2 linked regions of the Kluyveromyces lactis genome follow. The protein of the gene in region 2 purifies or fractionates together with the protein of the main gene of each other region. This does not show direct contact. Links are inferred from orthologs where the notes say so. Each region holds a gene or a part of one and is shown on either strand. Other genes may lie near its edges.

What was found.
Region 1: the proteins of PUB1 (region 2) and HSP104 purify together in Saccharomyces cerevisiae (affinity purification with mass spectrometry; 3 studies listed by BioGRID). This does not show direct contact. The link is inferred for Kluyveromyces lactis from reciprocal best matches to the Saccharomyces cerevisiae genes PUB1 and HSP104.

What each region holds. Positions count from the first base shown.
Region 1 is NC_006042.1:1,665,141-1,674,942, reverse strand, and holds HSP104 (chaperone ATPase HSP104), read right to left. Parts: upstream 6,662-9,802; coding exon 3,962-6,661; downstream 1-3,961. UniProt on the Saccharomyces cerevisiae protein: Required, in concert with Hsp40 (YDJ1) and Hsp70 (SSA1) and small Hsps (HSP26), for the dissociation, resolubilization and refolding of aggregates of damaged proteins after heat or other environmental stresses.
Region 2 is NC_006041.1:780,869-789,993, reverse strand, and holds PUB1 (Pub1p), read right to left. Parts: upstream 7,195-9,125; coding exon 5,767-7,194; downstream 1-5,766. Other genes in the region: protein geranylgeranyltransferase type I subunit CDC43, read right to left, coding at 1-72; PBI2 (Pbi2p), read right to left, coding at 489-719; YFH1 (ferroxidase), read right to left, coding at 1,126-1,698; EXP1 (Exp1p), read left to right, coding at 2,112-2,543; ubiquitin-specific protease UBP1, read right to left, coding at 2,688-5,003; phosphopantothenate--cysteine ligase CAB2, read left to right, coding at 8,163-9,125. UniProt on the Saccharomyces cerevisiae protein: May be associated with hnRNA within the nucleus and remains associated during nucleocytoplasmic mRNA transport, once the proteins are in the cytoplasm, disassembly of PUB1-RNA complexes may occur prior to PAB1 binding and formation of a translationally competent RNP complex.

The sequences.
Region 1 (9,802 bases), on a different chromosome or scaffold from region 2:
CTATACCTTTATGCTTATCGAGAACTCTTACATATTGTAAAGCTCTTGAACCATATGCTGATTTTACCACAGTTCAAACTTCCAAATAAAAAGCGGTATTGATGGCTGCAAAGAACCACAGCTGCTTTGGAATACACAACTGTTGTCATTAGTTCCCTATTTACCATATCATATCCGGTGCACAGAAATAAAAGATAAGGCTAATACAAAATAAGGAACTAAAAAATGCCGAAATGAATGAAGCTACCCTGTTGTCAGTAAGTTTCACCGAAGAGACAAGAGATGAAATTACGCACACTTGCTATATCCCAGGATTATTCACTATTACTGAAAAGCTACTGCAATAAAAGAATGAATAAACAGAAAGGCTCCAATCGTTAACAGCCCATTACTACGTTTATACAAGACTGTTCCCCTTTTCTAATGAGGACAGAAAATGAACCCCGTCATTCAATATAACATCATAAATTTACTTCTTTTCTGAAATAATGTTAAGGTAAAATAATAATTCTAGAAAATCAGTAAGTAAAAGGCACATTTTAGAGAAAAGTATCAAACATTATGCCAAAAACCGAACTGCAGCATTTTGACATTTTTGAAGCTACGGGAGAATGGTATAATTCACATTCTTCTAGATTTTGTTTTAGTAAGGATTATTGATAAGAATATGATTCAATCGAGACTTAATAATCTAATACTAATGCCGCGTATGTTTTTAAAATAGCCCCAGTCACTTAACGAACAGGTTGTTAACTCTATCGATTATCGGGATCTCCCACGTTTAGTATTTTGTTTTACTGCTATATGGCATCTGAAATACCGTTGCTAGTGCCTTTTTATTGGTTATTCCCATTTACTAGTAATAATTATATTTTGTACGTGCATTGCCGCTGTTAACACTGCAATTTTTTCTGCACTCTCCGTTTATCGCCTTTTGTTCACTTTTCTTTTTTCAACCCTTCTGGCTAACTTCGATCATTAGAATTCTAAGGGTCCGAAATCCTTTCTAGTCTAATACTTGTATTTGCGTTGTGCTGGTAGCAGCTTGGATACCCTTTACCGTTACCACTACAGAAGAGAATCGTCGTTTCTCTTCTTTCCCTAGAAGAATGATATGAAAACAAAAATATAAGCCAAACACTCCGTATAATCTGCAAGCCTTCTCTTTTGAATATTTCAGTTGTTCTAAAGCCATAGTATTCCCAAAAATTTAGATCCCCTCATTGGCTAGTGTGTAAATAATTTCCATGGACTGTGCAAAAACTTTATATCTAGTCTTTTTAGTGCTGACTAAATCAGTACTAACAACACAAAGAAAAATTGTAGGAGTTTCTGTTTTTACGTACAGTGAAAAGGTGCCTTGACGCAGAAATATTCGTACTGCAGATCAAAAAATTATGATTGAAAAAAAAAGATTCAATGAATTTCATTTGGATTCGAACAGCATTTTTTCTGCCTACAGCTGAAATCTGTACGATACTTTCTGCAGTTTGTCTTAGATATCTCGTAGCTGGCTTTAGTCCCCTCAAAGGTGAACATCTTCCAGAGAGCGGGGATCATGTTCCTCCAAACATTCCAAACATGGTGGCGTTGGGGGTTTATTTCTAATGCGAAATAAGACCACTTTTAATGTATTCCTACATGAGCATGATGTAACCTTTATCATACTTACAGACTTTGGGCCCAAAAATCAGTGAAAGAATTCGATAACTACTTGGTAAAAACAGGCTCAAAATTATGCAAATGAGTAATGAAAATGAAGAGAAATAAAGAGGAAAGATATCATAATCTAATCGTGGCTTCACTAATTTTTTGACTGCATCTTCTTGGTGAGAAATCGAGATACCCTTACCGGTGTGCCTCACTGCTAAGCAGATGCACAGTATTTCTCGGTGAAATTGTGCTTTCATTTACATCTTGCAAATGAGAGCATGTTCGGAGTCCTCAGAAAAAGATGCCGTGGTGAATCTGACGGTTAAATCCGGTATCACAATATCGCATGCACACCCCGAACAGTAAGTATCCTTTGATTTTTTCTATTATTAGTTTGCACGGTAGCTTCTAAGGCGACTGCAGCTATGCTTTAGATCAGACCCTATTTTTCCTGCTTTTATCATGCATTAATATGTCACGGCACGATAATCCTTTCACGAATCTAGTAGTGCAACAATAATATACGCAAATGGATAGGCTTTCGCTTTCACAAAAAACATAGTAGGATGTCAGTTAGAATGGCAATCTCTATATTGCCTGCTCTTCAAGTAAACAGAATAGAAATTGTTTCCCATAATTTTTTGTAGTGATGGTTCAGAACGTCTTATCTGTACAGCACAATCAGAGAAAATGTCAAAAAAAGCGCAAAGAAAAGAGAATTTAGAGAAAAAACAATGCCAAAAACAGTCCACATTTTCAAATCAGGAGTAAACCTTAGTTTGGCAGCCGATTACAAAAAGAAATCACCCTAATATCTCAAACTGTTTAACCGGAAATGTAAGCACAGGCTCTCGGCTGTAAGATAATGCAAAATCGGGTATACGATATATAGAATAGATAGCTATATACTACTACGGGTCCAGCCAAGACGCGACTGTAAGTGCCTCATGCACGAGGAGCTAAAGGTGGTTCGGAATCCACCAACGGAAATTTCGGGAATGTACATATTGATGTAGTGGCATTGCATCACGGTATTTGAATTTCCTGATTTAGAATAAAAAAAAGTCGATTACCTCCAGTACGCGTTTGGTATGGAAAGAAACCCTGGCAACATGACAATTATGAGTTTACCCACAGTGGCATTATTGACTGTTTTTTCTTTTTAACTTGCATGCAAATACGGCACATTGTTCATACTCAAAACGGTGTTGGAAAAATGCAACGGCAGAGTTGGGAAAAAACGGGTTGCTCTCCTTATATGCAAAACAAATCCGCACTTGAACTAGTTAGCGTGGCACAGGTAAATAAATAATAATTATAGTATCTGTTAGCACAATAGGAATTGTGGTAACCATGGCAATTGTAAGACATAATTCAATCAATCAATAAAATAGTAAATCGAACCAAACAAAGTACCGGTAAATCACCCTCAAGTTCCTGTACTCTTAATAAGCCAGAAACATTTCAATCTTGTAATCCGAACAACAGTTACTGCCAAGATCCGGCCTCCTTCATTCTGTAGATAAAAAAAACCAAGGAGAACACATGTCCTTTTGCATACAAACTAAAAAATAGGCACCTGAGATGAATCTACGAAATGAAACGAATTTACAGTGCTGGATTTTCTTCGCTTCTGCATTCTTTCTTAGAGGCCGATAAGCGTTTTTCCGTTCCTTCCCTTCCGACGCGTTTGCGTCTTATCCCACACATTGGTACGTGTGTCTTCGAATTATAGAGAGGCTCGTATCCAAATGCGAGCGTACGCTTTAGTCCATCTGATTGCCTGCTAATTTTTGACATGTAATAATGGAAGCCTTTCAGGGAAAATGATCTACGTCTATCTCTTTACCAAGCATGTTTAGCGATGCCCAGAACGAAAGGTATATGGGATGTTACTCAGCCAATAACTCCACGGAACGAGGGAAGAAGAGGAAAAAAGCCGAAGATTAACATTCGTGAGGAAAGAAGCATGATTTGAAGAAAGACCAATCAAATTCTTTTGAATCATGTGCAAAATTGGACTTACTGACTTGGGAAATCAGTGAAAAAGGCTGAAAGAACCCTGCCCATCTAAGTAACATGTAATACAAACTCAGCCAGAATGCTTAGTTAGTACGCTTGTATGAATAACAGCAGCACCATTGGTTTGCACCTCTTATGAACATGAAAACATGTAAAAGTCAAAATATTATACTAAAGAAAGTGAAAAAAATATGTACTTTACACTATATATGATGGTACTGTTGAACTGAAATTTTATTACTGAGTGAGTTTGTTTGTATGTTTTCTTTTTGTAATTCATTTTAGATCAGTCTAGGTCTAAGTCGTCATCGTCGTCCAAGTCCAAATCCATGTCTTCATCACCAATTTCTGATGAAGCTGGGTGATTTGGTAAAACTTCTAAATGAGATCCATCGGCACCCACTTCTACATTGACAATTTCTTTGTCTTTGATCTCACCCTTCAAGATATGGATTGCCATTGGGTTCAAAATCTCGGTTTGAATTAATCTGTTCAATGGCCTAGCACCCATATCCTCCGAGTAACCATTCTTGGTCAAGAAATCCCGAGCTGGTGGTGAAACGTTGATCTTGTAATTCTTATCATTATCCGCAAATTGCTTCTCCAAGTCTTTGATTCTGATATCAACAATTTTGTGAATGGCCTTGTGAGAAAGCTTGTTGAATACCACGATACTTGAGATTCTATTCAAGAATTCTGGTCTGAAATGTGCTTTAACGGCACTCATCACCAACTCTTTGGAACCCTCAGTAACCTTTGATCCAGTCTGAGCATTGATAAATTGGGCACCCAAATTAGAAGTCATAATTACAATACAGTTCGAACAGTCAATTGTCTTACCTTGACCACTAGTGATTCTGCCGTCATCTAACATTTGCAAAAGAACGGTCAAGACATCAGGGTGGGCCTTTTCGACTTCATCAAATAACAACACACTGTATGGTCTTCTCTGTAATTGATTAGTTAAGAAACCACCTTCTTGGTAACCAATGTAACCGGCAGTAGTACCTAATAATTTCGAAACTGAATGTTTCTCCATCAATTCTGAACAATCGATTCTGACCATAGCTTTTTCATCATTAAACAAGAAGGATGCGACTTTCTTAGCTAATTCAGTCTTACCGGAACCAGATAAACCTAGGAATAAGAAAGATGCCGGTTGATTAGGGTTAGACAAACCAGATCTAGAAAGTCTGACAGCGTTAGAAACGGCTTTCACAGCCTCCATTTGACCCACAACTTGTTGCGATAACTCACGTTCCATATGGATCAACTTTGTGTTTTCAGATTCAGTTAGTTTATTCACTGGAATACCGGTCATTCTAGCGGCAGTCTCGGCAATAACCTCGCTGTTAACCACGTTCTTCACCATTGTTTCAGAACCTTCCCTGGATTCTTCTTCAGCAACTTTTTGTTCCAATTCCTCAATACGTTTCTTGATATCCGGAATAGCAAAGTATTTCAAATCAGCTGCGGTAGCATTATCGTAACGACGTTCGGCATCCATGCATTTGTTTTCCAATTCATCGAGCTTCTTTTTGGCTTGTCTTAGTTGTTCATGAGAATCCACTTCCTGTTGGTAACGCTGTCTCATTGGTTCCAATTCCTCAATTAATGAAGCTTCCTTTTGTCTGGCTTGTTGTAGCCTTTCTTTTGTCGTTGGATCCGTTTCTTCATCTCTTTCTAATGCCTTGATTTCAACCTGTAGTAAATGCAATTCGCGCTCTTTATTGTCTAATTCTTCGGGCTTAGAATCACGAGCAACAGCGACACCGGCACATGAAATATCAACCAAGTCAATAGCAGAATCAGGTAATCTTCTGTATGGCAAGTACCTCTTAGCTAGTTGAGCTGCAGACACTAGGGCACTATCTAGAATTCTAACACCATGATGTATTTCATACTTTGGCTGTAAACCTCTCAAAATAGCTACCGTTTGCCTTGTCGTTGGTTCAGGGACATCAATCTTCTGGAATCTTCTTTCGAAAGCACCATCCTTCTCGACCAAAGATCTATATTCGTTAGTGGTAGTGGCACCAATTACCTTCAAGCCACCACGAGATAAGGCTGGTTTCAAAATATTAGCAGCATTGGCAGAATCATCTACACCTTGGCCCATCAACATATGAATCTCATCGATGAATAATATAATTAAAGTCTTTGATTCCTCGATTTCTTTCAAGACACCTTTTAATCTTTCCTCGAAATCACCTTTATATTTGGCACCAGCCGTCAATGCAGCAAGATCCAAAGAAAATAATTTGCAACCCTGTAGAATTTGTGGAACATCATCGTCGATAATTCTTTGAGCAACACCTTCTACAATGGCAGTCTTACCAATACCTGGCTCACCGATCAAACATGGATTTGACTTGATTCTTCTAGCAAGAACAGTGATGGCAGTTCTAATTTCTTCTTCTCTACCGATAACAGGATCCAACTTACCTGCTCTAGCCTGTTCAGTCATATCGATCGCATACTTCTTCAAATATTCCCATTTTTCATTTGTATCAGCGTCTCTTGAATCAATTCGTTGATTGCCTCTCAATTCGAGCATCTGCTGCTTCACAGATTCTATGTCAATGGAACACTCCTTAAAAATGCTTTGAGTTGTTGCATCTTTGAACAAAGCAGTCAATATATGATCTTGACCGACGAATGAATCTTTTTGCTGTTTCCTAATTTCTGAAGTATCTTTCAAGACCTGCCCGAAAGCATAACTTGGCTGAATTTCTAATGGTGCGGGCGTCTGAGATGGAGTCCTGACTAGGTTTCTGTTGATGGCCCTTTTCAAAGGTTCATAATCATATTTCGCTAATTCCACCAAGTTTTGTAAGAATCCAACAGAACCATCCTCGTTTGGCTCAACAAATGCAGCAAGTAAGTGAATTGGTTGTAACTGAGCATGTCTGTGATCCTGAGCCAATTTCTGGGCCAAACGGATAATTTCGTTGGCCTTATTTGTAAATTGTGTTTCGTCGTTCATTGTAGTAATATCTTCTTTCTAGACAATAAACTGTTGATGCGTTTGATGATCCTGACAATTGTTGTTTATTTCTATCAGATAGACCACTATTGATACAATTGATGTAATTGAATTCCAAAGCAGGAAGCACTCAACAAATGATTCTTCGGATGGTCTCCCTTTATATACCTCTTCACTACGCTTATATTCTATAAACTTTTTTTTTCACCTATTCTTTCTATAAGCATCTATCAAAAGATACCCTAAAATCACCTTATTAAGAAAACTAATAGCAAAGCAAAATATACCTCAACCCCTATCTCCCGGTACCAGTCCCAGCTTTAGTATTGCCCAATTCACAGACAAACAAAGCTCTAACAACTACATTACTTTTCCAGTATAAACCAGTACATTCTCGAATAATTCACTCACTCAAGGTTAAGCTTTTAAATTACCGTTGGGACTGACGTTCATGGCTACGTAAAATAGAAAATTGTAAGTACGTCCTTATTGTTAGTTGAATACTAGATCAAACAACCAGCTATCCCAGCATGTTGCTTACGGCAATGTAGAAGCTGTGTGGGGATTGTAAAGCTACTTAAAATTCACTCTGCTCTAAGCTAGAGTCCGGAACCGTGATAGCTAGAACATTACCGGATTTTTCTGGAAGACTCTCGAAAGTGCATGTCCACAAAGAAAACCGAAGAAAAAAACTGGAACAAGTGGATCACCATCACGTGATAGATTTTGAAATTTAACGCTAGGTTTTTGGAACGCACTTCTGTTTCGATGTCAGGCGTCAGTTTTGTAATTCACGTTAATTAAGACAATATCATTGGCATTGTGTCAAGTTTTGGATAGCAACATATTATTATTTTCCTTGTAAGATCTACATATGTATAACTAGATATTCCAGCTCATGTGCGTGATGATCTTTCGTTTTTGAATCAAATTAACAAGGACATCATGAAAGCAATAATGGAGCCTATGGACGAAGTTCTCTTCCAATTATAAGCATCATTTAGGGCAGTAGAATGATCAGTCTCAGTGCCATTGTAGTGACCGTCATCTGTTTTCCATTCAGTGTCCGTTTCGTTCTTTACCTCTTTGTAACCTTCCTTCAATGCAGCAGAGGTAGTGTGATGTGGTTTCTTGGTGAAACTCGTCTCAACACGTTTTTCTTCAGTCACTGAAGGTTCAGCTTCGGAGTATTCATCATCATCATCATGTTTTTTGTTCTTCTTGTCACTATGTTTTTTGTTCTTCTTATCTTCCTTTTGCTTTTTCTCTTCTTCCTTCTTAGCCTTTTTCTTCTCTTTCTTGGTTTTTTTATCTTCTTTTGGCTTCTCTTCCTCAGACTTTTCGTCCTTTGATGTGTCGTCCTTTGGATCTTTTTCCTTTGGTTTGTCTTCCTTTGGTTCGTCTTCCTTTGGTTCGTCTTCCTTTGGTTCGTCTTCCTTTGGTTTGTCTTCCTTTGGTTCGTCTTCCTTTGGTTCGTCCTCCTTTAGTTTGTCTTCCTTTGGTGGTTTTGGAGATGGCTTCAATTTCTCACATGGAACAATGTCAGCGCATGCATATCTTGTACCATTAGAATAATGTAAGGTAATTGATCTACCTCCAACAAAAGCGGGATCACCCTCGATCAATGATAAGTATGGATCCAAATATTCCGTCTCGTAATAACTGTAGTCGATGTTACCGTACTTACCACTTAAGTCACCAACTTCACATTTGGAGATATCATTACCGCATGGCACCTGCCCATTGTAAGGGTTCAAGTGTTCTTTTGTAGACTCACAAGTTGGATCGGATGGATCAACTGGTTTTTCGTGGATGTGATATTGAAGCTTTGGCTCCAAAGTCGATATTCTGACGTTTACCTTGGCAATTCCATCAAGACTAGTGAAAGTGTGATGTATCCACCAACCTTATCGGAGCCAACCTGAGGAAATTCTGCAAGGTAGCAGGCTTTCTCTGGATTTTCATAAACAACTGGCGCAGACTCTCTATCAGCACCTGCTAGTGCTATTGGAAGAGCGACTAAAATTGGAATTAGCTTTTTTTGTTGCATGACAGATATATTCTTTTAAGTGTAATTGAATAAAGACTTTGGTAAGTTTGTTTTCCTGGACTTGTTTAAAAAACCGGTTGGAATACGAGTGCTTATTTAAAAAGTTCCTTAGAGAGTTTCTAGGTGGTAATAATACTGTAAAGTAGAATAAGAGAAGTGCCTTTTGTGACGGTAAAAAGAGAAGTAATTTTATCCTATACAAAGAGGTTTATATATTTAAAATATTTCAGCGTGACAAGGAATGGGGTACAAATACAGAATCAGAGAGCCATGTCAGAAAATAGGTAAGAGAAACCTTTGTGTCACTGCACATCTTGGTTTCTGTGCTCAGTGTATATATTTTTATTTTGAATTTTATTCTGTCGCGGGACGTGCACGTCCATTAATTTTGTTAAAGTACCTTCGAGTATTTTTTTTAATATTGGGACAGCAAATATATCCTTGGACAGCGAAATTAATAGAGCTCTCCCATTAGTGTAATCACAACCGCAACGTCCGTTTAATTAAAGTAACGTAGCTAGAATATGGTTTGATAGAATAAATATGATGTTAAAAAAGTTATAAACGAGCTACATCAGGTAGCATTTTTTGTGACCAATAAATATACATATAGAATTATAATGATGATTGTAATTGTGTTTAAGGGTATTATTGGTGTGGAAGAAAGAGATTGAATGAGGGAGGATTTCTTAGGGTGTATCGCATTGAACAAATGAATAAAAGAATAAATTCAAGCAATTCTCCTCCGGGGGATATCATCAGCGTCCCGGACGCTTTATGCCCCCGTACGTACCCCAAATGGAAAGAATACCTGCTAGTAAAAAAGATCAGGATCCGATGCTATTGTATAAATAAATGTCGTTAGAATGAGTTTTCCAAACTAAACACCTTGTAGTAAGAGGTAGCAAACCTATCAGAAGAATAATACGTGGGGTGAGTGTTGTGTTAGTTGCGTCAACTGTTAGTTTCTTTATTTTTCTCCAGAGGCAATCCGGATGAAAGCGACAACAGTCAATGCTCCTTACAGGTGATGAATATTTATGCTTCATCCCAATGCAAAGTTGTGGATGATAATGATGCCGATGATGATG
Region 2 (9,125 bases):
CAACAATTGCAAATGTCTTTGACAAAATTTTATGTGTTTTGCCACATTTTTATCATCCATCACTCCTTGCATCCGAAATATAGCATCCGTTCACCTCTAATTCCCTATTTGGTTGTCTTATCCTCCGTCTTAATCGATCTTTCTAACTGGAGATTCGCACTTAATATGTTCTTAGATATCATTTTCCATTATAATAGAAAAGGTGAACATAAGCACAGTTAGATGAAAAGAGATATCCCGTAGAAGAGGACGTTGATATGAATACCAGAAGTGGTTATAAGATTACAGATATGAATGCAAATATATAGACGTTATCTAATTGACATTCGACAGTACCGGTTTTCTATTCTTGTTGTAATAATCTAAAAGTTGTTCTTGCGAATAAAGGGCCCTGCCCGATATTTCGAGTGATCAAAGATCTTGAGTAAAGGGACAAAAAAGGAACAACCATCATGTATGACTCGGACGTTCTCAATATGATCCCCTGCTTATAAAGCTTTGACCTCTTTATCTTCCTCGATAGTTTCGAAAGCATCACCGTGCAAATCCTTCAATTTATCAATCTTTAGAGACTCTGGCAACTTGACAGCAAATCCCTTAATTAAGGAATAGTCATGGACAATAGTACCACCCAGAGAAGAAATGGAGTTTTTGATCTTTGAAGCGTCGGCTTCTGGAACGCTGTCTTTGAATGTGATAATGAACGATTTGAATGTCATGATTGTTATGATTGGGGTTGTTTGCTTCTGGCTCAGAATGACCCCTTCTTTACCGAGACTATCAAATGTGGTTTATAGAAGAGAAAGTTACTGAGTCAAACAGATTTCATTTATAGAAGAGAAAGTTACTGAGTCAAACAGATTTCATTTATATAGCAACAAAGTATAGACTATAAAGAACAAAAGAAGTCAGGGACTGTGTAAGTGCAATCGCGTCAGTAAGGTATATTTTGGACGTTATAGGTATAAATAAATGAAACAAACAAAAGTATATACATAAATAAGAGTAAAATTGGTTGATTGTGATCTCTGAATTGTTTCTGCGAAATTGGGTCCTTAACGGTGAACTGCGGACATGCCATAGTTGTAAGGCAGTTTGTGAGCAGCAAGATCATATTTACATCGTTCAGTAATGTAGGTCAATTTCGTCGCCTTCTAGTCGGTCACTGAGCTCTTTGTTTAGGATATCCAGTAACTTCGTACCGTCTCTCAACGAAACCCACTCCTTTTGATAGTAATCGAATCGGTTGGGCCCAGACACCGGAGAAGCCAACCATATTTGTTTATTTGGGGGCTGCTTGTTGATTACATATGTACCAACGGAAGGAACTTCTATACTCATCACACCTTGTGACATCTCAACATCCTGCACGACTTCTGGATGATAATCACAGAGAATTTCGAGCTGATCCAGTAAGCTATCCATAAACTCATCAGAAATTTCGTGATACACTTCGATAGGCATATCCAGAATCTCTTCTGGGATAGTTTTCCCATCTGTTGATGCTGCTATACTGTTATGCATCCGCTGTACTGTAACAAAGGGTAGATTATGTTGATTCAAAATCCCGAGTTTTGACAACACAGGAGCCCTAGTTGGTGCAGTTCTTGCGAGACCTATGCTAGGTATCGCTTTGGTAACAATACTACGTCTGGAAATGACGCTTCTAATGACCCTGGAGCTATTTTTCACTAGCATTTATTCCTTATCTTCTAATTTCTTTCCTACTGTATCAATTCAATACTCCGAATAATTCCTTTGAACGTTGTCTGTTCCCGCAAGCCTCAAGGTAAATTTACTAATTCAAGCTAATAGCAACTAGGACTGATTCAGTTTTCGCACCTCAATATGTTGTATGCTGAACTCAACGTGATAGAGAATAACGTACCTAAACTGTGATTTCTCAACCTACTTCAACTGAAAAGGTCCTTCAAGTCTTTTAAGTTTATATCTAATTTCCACAATCTATATTGAAAAAAAAAGATCGATGAGCCGACACTCACACTATATGGCTAATGGCTATGCATACAAAGGGAAACAACTGTTTCTTAAGATATAATATCAACTTCTTGACGAAAAGTGCCAACTAGACGTCAGTACTGCCTTTCGCAATGAACCCATTTGTATATTTAATTGTGTTTCTTTTAGTGGTAGCTTTCGTTGTATTACTACCGCTAATTGGAGGAATTGGTTCATATTCAGTGGACAAGAAGACTACCAGACGCAGTGGTGATGCCAAAGATTCGGAAAAGGCTGGATCCCTTGCAAAATATGCAAAATTGAAGAAAGAGGATGCACCTGTGAAGTTTAAAGTTAGTTCATCACAAGAAGGTGAGGGATTTGGGACTCGGAAGTTCGAAATCGATGGGAAAACAGGGTTGAAGAAGCGTGTCATTGGTAAATACAATGAGGACGAAGCTGAATTTGATTATGATGTTGATGAGTTGATCGCGGAGGATTTAAGAGAGCAACAACAAGAGGAAGCTGCAAGGTATGCCCAGTATTTGGGTAAAGAAAATGAGACACAGGAAAATCTTGTGTGAGCCTTTTTGTTCTCACAAGTAAAGAGGTTTACGTACAGCGTTTCAAACTCCTCCAAAACTCTGATTGTAACATGCTATTATATTAGGGGATTTGTGATATTTATGTATCTATGTAACTAGATGCGTGAAATTGCAAAATAAAATTCAATGAGTTACTTGATCAACAGCAGGTTCACCTTCAATCTCTACGTTGAATTCATTCTCGTATTCAGTATCGTCTTTCATCTTCCCTGTTTCTGTATCATAATCGTACTCGTAGAACAACATGAAAACACCGGGGGTAGAAAGCACTTCTTGTTCGTCGACAATGTAAACACTTTCGTCACTAATTCTCCACCAGCAACCACGGAACCTTCTAAATGCAATGTAATGACCATAGTTATGAGTACCATAATGTACAATAACAGATCTTAAAACATATGTCAAAGGCCCGGCAGGAACGCTGGACACAATTGGTTGTGTAGGAGGAAGCGGAGGTGTTGGCAAGGAGTCATCTGATTCTTCTTCGGAGTTTTCCTCGTCTTCTTCAGCTTCGTCTTCTTCATAAGCTTCATCCTCATCATCATCTTCAGGATCATCTTCTTGCTCAGAGTTGCCTTCGGCATCTACTATATCGAGGTTTCCTCTGGAGATAGACACATCTTGATTGCCACCTAATAATGGTTTTTTGGCAGTCTTTTTTACGATTGTATTTCCAAGGGCATCTAACTCCACCTCTTCGACTTCAGCAATATCGTCTTCGGATGATGACAACGATGCCGAACTTAATTCACCATTCAAAACATCATGCTCTTCCACCATTCTTGAAGATCCATTGAACATTCCTTGACCATTATCACTTCCATCCTCCTCTTCATCGCTGTCTTCAAATTCTTTTTCAAATCTGCGATGCAACTTATTGTAGTATTCAGTTCCATTATTGTCATCTTCGGATGATTCGTGCCAGTTCTCTTGCTTCTTGGACATCGGAAGACGTGCATCAAGATTAATCTTATCATAATTGCAACACCAAGGTGATAGATTCAATTTGCTTTTGAATATAACTCTTGAGTTATTTTTCCTGATCATATAAGTGCGAGGGTCAAAAACGGACCGGTTGATGTGAACAGATAACAATGGTGGAGGTCTAGAAATCAAAATTTGTTTTGACTTTGAGGATTTGCGAACCATGTTCTCAGTATGCATCCTCTTATAGTCATCATCATCGATGGCAAGCTTTGACAACACTGATTTAACTTCATTGATCCTATCCTCCATCAAGGTTACTAGTTTTTGATTGACATCTGGCTGTGATTGGATGGTGTTCAGTTGTTCTACTAAATGTTCCAAAACAGCGTTCAATGCACAACGATTACAGTCAACTCCTTCGATGATCTCAGGTTTCGACCACTCGTCAAGAAGTTGTGACAGTTTGATTGGGGAACCGATGTTATCACTGGGTAAATTCAAAGATAGACCTGAGAAGACTGAATATCTTATCCCACCATTCTCACCACATTGCAAACATCCAATTCTTTCGGCAGTGATACCATCTAAGGGAGTAACAATTTTATATGGAGAATAGAATTTCCTACCAGATGCAAGCACGGAGTTTGGGTCGATCTGTTCCGTTGGGATATAGACATCACCAATCTCGCCGAGGTGTTCTTGTCCAACAATTGCATCTTCAGGCAAATCATCTTGTGGTACTGGCTTTGGATCCTTTTCTGGTTTTCCATATATGCTTTCAACATTCTTCTCCAGCTCTGAAAGGATAGTTTGGAAAAACTCTTGAGCATCTTCTTGATCATAACCTAGGATGATGTTCCTATTTGGAGCTTTTGACATAGTTTTCAAAAGTTTGTTGGTCTTAAACCATGGTCTGTTACGGTAATGTTTCGCATTCAACTTTGAGAATAGATCCTGAAGAGCCAATGTGAAATGCATATTAGGTTCTGTTGAGTTTTTTAAGAGCTCGTTGTCTGCTTGACGTACAGCGATCTTTTTCCTCTTTCCATATGTCTTATTCTTTGTTGCTTTAGGCTTCTTCTCAACAGTAGATTGCTCATTAGGCAAATCTGATTCTTCTCCATTCTCATCAATTGTATTTTGACTGTCATCATTAGAATCTAGGATAATAGTGTCCATGAATTTATGCAACTCTTTGGACGAGGCCAAACATTGGAGCACTGAATTCATAAAGCATGTGTTACCGTCATTCACTAAACCTCCAACATAACCACCTCTTCTGACAATAGTCTCCTCTTGCTCCGCATTTCTTGGAGCCCATCGACCAAGCATTATTTTATCCCTTACTGCTTGTGTAATTTCTTTCGTGGTACTTACAACAGAAACAGCCACTCTTGTGATATCAAATTCGTTCTTGTACAGGAAGTATAGCGAAGCAATTAATCCAATTAGTACCGCTTTTAAAACTCTCTTTTCTTCAAAGCCTAACTTCTCTAAAATCGTGGTTAGCATACAAACAATAATGTATAATTGAACGAAACGACTAGCGATTAATTGATAGGATCTTTATAACTGATTATGGTTTTTCATAAACCTAGTTCTCTTCACACTTTTGTATTTGTAAAAAGCTTAATCCGTATAACAATCCTACTCTTTGATGATCTTTAAAATATCTATTGCTATTCAGTTATTGGAAAATATTTCCAGTAAAAAGATTATGATAACTTTGAATATCAGATTGACAATAACAGTATCAGATTATCACAGCAAAATTGATACTTTTCCAGGCATGTATGTTCCTATCAATGGCAAAACCTATAATAATTTCAGAGTTATATAGCTTTCATTCGTTACATTTTTGAACTTTTTTTTTTTCATTTTTTTGGTTTAAGAACCACAGACGTATGTAATGTATAGGCCTATGGGTTTGGGTTCACTGGTAAAGAAGATTACGAGAGTTAACAACAAAACTATATAAGAAAGATGAGGATGTACTACTTGGATTAATTTACTTGACAGTAAGCGTTAAGGTCCGTTCCTCTTTGTACACACTAAAGAATCATAAGGCAACGATAATTTCTATATATCTAATAATAATGCATGGACATGATGGACAGATCTAGAAATCTAGGGGACAAAAAAAATAATAACGGTTTATATCATTATATATAGGAAGTTAATAATGGGTCATCATCACATGTAGAATCAGACAATTTCGGATGGAAGAAAAATGTCTAGTGTTGGAACAATTAATATTTTTTTTGTTTTAATGAACTCATTGCTCTTGTTGCTGAGGTTGCTGTTGATCATGCTGCTGAGGGGCATTTTCAAACTGTTGCTGTTGTTCTTCTAGTGGAAGTTGACCAGGAATTGGACCCATTTGTTGTTGTGGACGAATGAAAGTTGGTTTTTCCTTACCCCAACCGGTTCTCAAGTTTCTTCCTTGGAATGGGAAATTTGTTAGAGCCACAATACACAACGCAGCTTGTTCATGAGTATCATATTTGATGAAACAACAACCCTTTTCTGGGTAATGCTTGAAGTCGATGATGAAACCAAAGTTTTGTAGTAATGGAATCAAGTCGTGTTCTTGAGCGAAATGTGGGATGTTACCGATGTACGCAGTGGTAACTCTTGGAGGAGCTCTTCTCATCATATCTTCAACGGCTTCTGGATCCACTGGAGGAGGAACCAAAGGAGCTTGATGAATTGGAGGAATTCCAATTGGGGGTTGCTGTTGCAATTGTGGGGGTAGGTGAGATTGCATTTGGTGATGTGGTGGTGGACCAGCATGTCTGTTGATACCGTTGTGATTGTGGTGATTTTGGTTCTGATTGTTGTTATTACGGAATCCACCACGGCCACTGGCAGGACCATTGAATCTTCTTTGACCTTGTTGACTTTGTTGGGGTTCACGTTTGGAAGCCCAGTTGATTCTTAAGGCTCTGCCGTTCAATTCGAACCCTTGTTTAGTTTCCATAGCCACTTGCGCTTGATCTTGTTCACCAAATGATACAAAACCGTACCCTCTAGATCTACCAGATTGCATATCCCACATCACGTGAGCTTGAATGAAGGATGGGAACTCTTTAAAAGTGCCGGCCAAAGTGGCGTCATCGACATCGACGTTTAAATCACCGACGAACAAATTGAAAGTTTCATCGCTGTTAACCTGTTGAGATTGGAACGCCCAATTGATCTTAAGGACCTTCCCTTCTACTTCCTTACCATTTAGAGTTTGGTATGCGACGTTAGCATCGTGTGGTTCGAAATATTCAACAAACGCATAGTTACACTCTTGACTGTTCTTATCTGGAATAATTTTAACGCTGGAAATGGACCCACCAATTTGGAAATATTGTTTCAATAGATCATCATCAATGCTCTTTGGTAGGTTACCAACGTATAAGATTTTATCTGACTTTTCTCTACCACCTTGAGTAGCCAAAACAGGCGCGGCAGAGTCATCTTCCTCATCTCCTTCTTCTTGTTGTTTTTCCCCGTCACCGTTGTTATCCTGAGAAGCAGGCTTTTCAGATGCCGGTGCCTCCTCAGTAGCAGGAGCAGTGGTAGCAGCTCCAGGTGATTTCTCTTCGACGGTTGTAGTAGCTTCATTGGAATGATCCTGTTCGACAGCTGGAGCTGGAACCGGAACTGGTGCTGCAGTCTCAGTTTGTGCTTGTTGTGATTCTTCAGCAGACATTGCTATTCTATGTTGGCAAATTTAACGTAAAACAAAAAAACTCTATTCTGATATAAATCAATATCTTCCTCGAGTGAATAAACTGGTATACGTGAGTGAGTGAATGTAGATCTCTTCTTTAACACACTTAGATTAAAAGAATAAAACAATAAAAAAGGTTACAATTGCAATGTAGAATAGAACTCTATCCTTTCTGGCACCTCGGGTATAAACTTAAGCTATTAATGACTCTGAAATCGCCTTCCAAGTAATAGTACACAGAGGGTTTATATCAAATTGAGATCATAAACACGAATTCTACCAATGGGTGTCTCAAAATGTTAATTGAAATGAAAACCTTCGAATCTTTTTTCCTTCCAAATATCAATTTCCAAATCTGTGAAAAAATCTGGGTTTTCGCCAGCATTTCATATTTTCACGACTGTGAGTTTCTGTGAAATCGAATGGAAAACAGGACAGGAAAACGCAGGAAAAATTTCTAGAGCGTTTATTTCTAACAGTACTCAGAACGCGGTGTAGGTTCGACCTGAAAGATGCGTTTTGTTTTTTTTTTCCTGGCTTTTTTCTTGTTATTTACAAGAGAGCGATGTATTGGGTTCGTATATAGTGATAAGAAAAGCAAATTGGTGAATGCTTTTGGAGGTGAACTGGTATGGTACTGACGAGATTCGAATTGGGGAGCCACCAGAACAGTGGATAGCGTTTTGTTGACCGGTAAGCCATTACGGCATAGAAAAATGAAAATTTGATTTTACTGTCGAAAATTTGCTAGTATCAGGACGTTGGAAAACCTTAATCCTGAGCTACCTACTCATGTCATGTCAACTTTGGAGAAACTGAAATGATCATATATTAGTCACTTACATTACTATAGGAATGTTACAAGTAATGAACACTTGATGGAAGTAAAAAGTGTTTATATACTGGGATATATACTGAGACTGTGTATGCATTGAGCCGTTAGAATAATGACTGGAAGAAGGATTCATACATCGATTACAGAGGTTTCAAAGGCCATTGACCGTACCGTCGATGAAACTGCTTTGCCAATTGCTCATCTGAGCGATGAGGACAACTATTTCAGAACAAATCCCAGACCTGTGTACATGGACGATTTGTTAACGGAGGCTACACAGTTCATAGAGTATCAGAAGTCTCAAGGTCGCGAGAAAATTGTTCTGGTGACGTCTGGTGGTACTACGGTTCCCTTAGAAAACAATACAGTTCGCTTCATCGATAATTTTTCGGCAGGAACTCGTGGTGCATCTAGTGCAGAGCAGTTCTTATTCAATGGGTACTCTGTGATATTCCTCCATAGGGAGTTTTCTTTGACTCCATTCAACAGGCCTTTCATTCATAATACAGAAACTTGTTTCTTGGATTATTTTGATGAGGATGGGAGTATTTCACCAAAGTATAAGGACTTGATACTTCAAAATAAACGTGACTATGACCAGTTCATATACAAGGAAAAGAAGTTGTTGATGTTGCCGTTTACAACGGTGAACCAGTACTTGTGGTCTTTGAAGACAATTGCCGCTTTGATGAATAACAGCGGATGTTTGTTCTACCTTGCGGCTGCCGTGTCGGACTTTTTCGTTCCATATTCAAGGTTACCACAACACAAGATTCAATCGCAAGAAGCTAACCAATCACTGAATGACGGAAACCAAAGCTCTACAACAGTTGGCGGGAAATTAATAGTAAATCTTGATCCTGTGCCCAAATTTTTAAGGAGATTGGTTGAATCTTGGGCCACTCAAGCAATGATAATCTCTTTTAAACTAGAAACGGATAACAACCTTTTAATTCATAAAGCTCATCAGGCTTTGGACCGTTATAACCACCAGTTAGTGATAGGTAATCTATTGCAAACAAGAAACAAAGAAGTGGTTTTCGTTTCGGAACAAAACCGCGATGGTGACTGGATA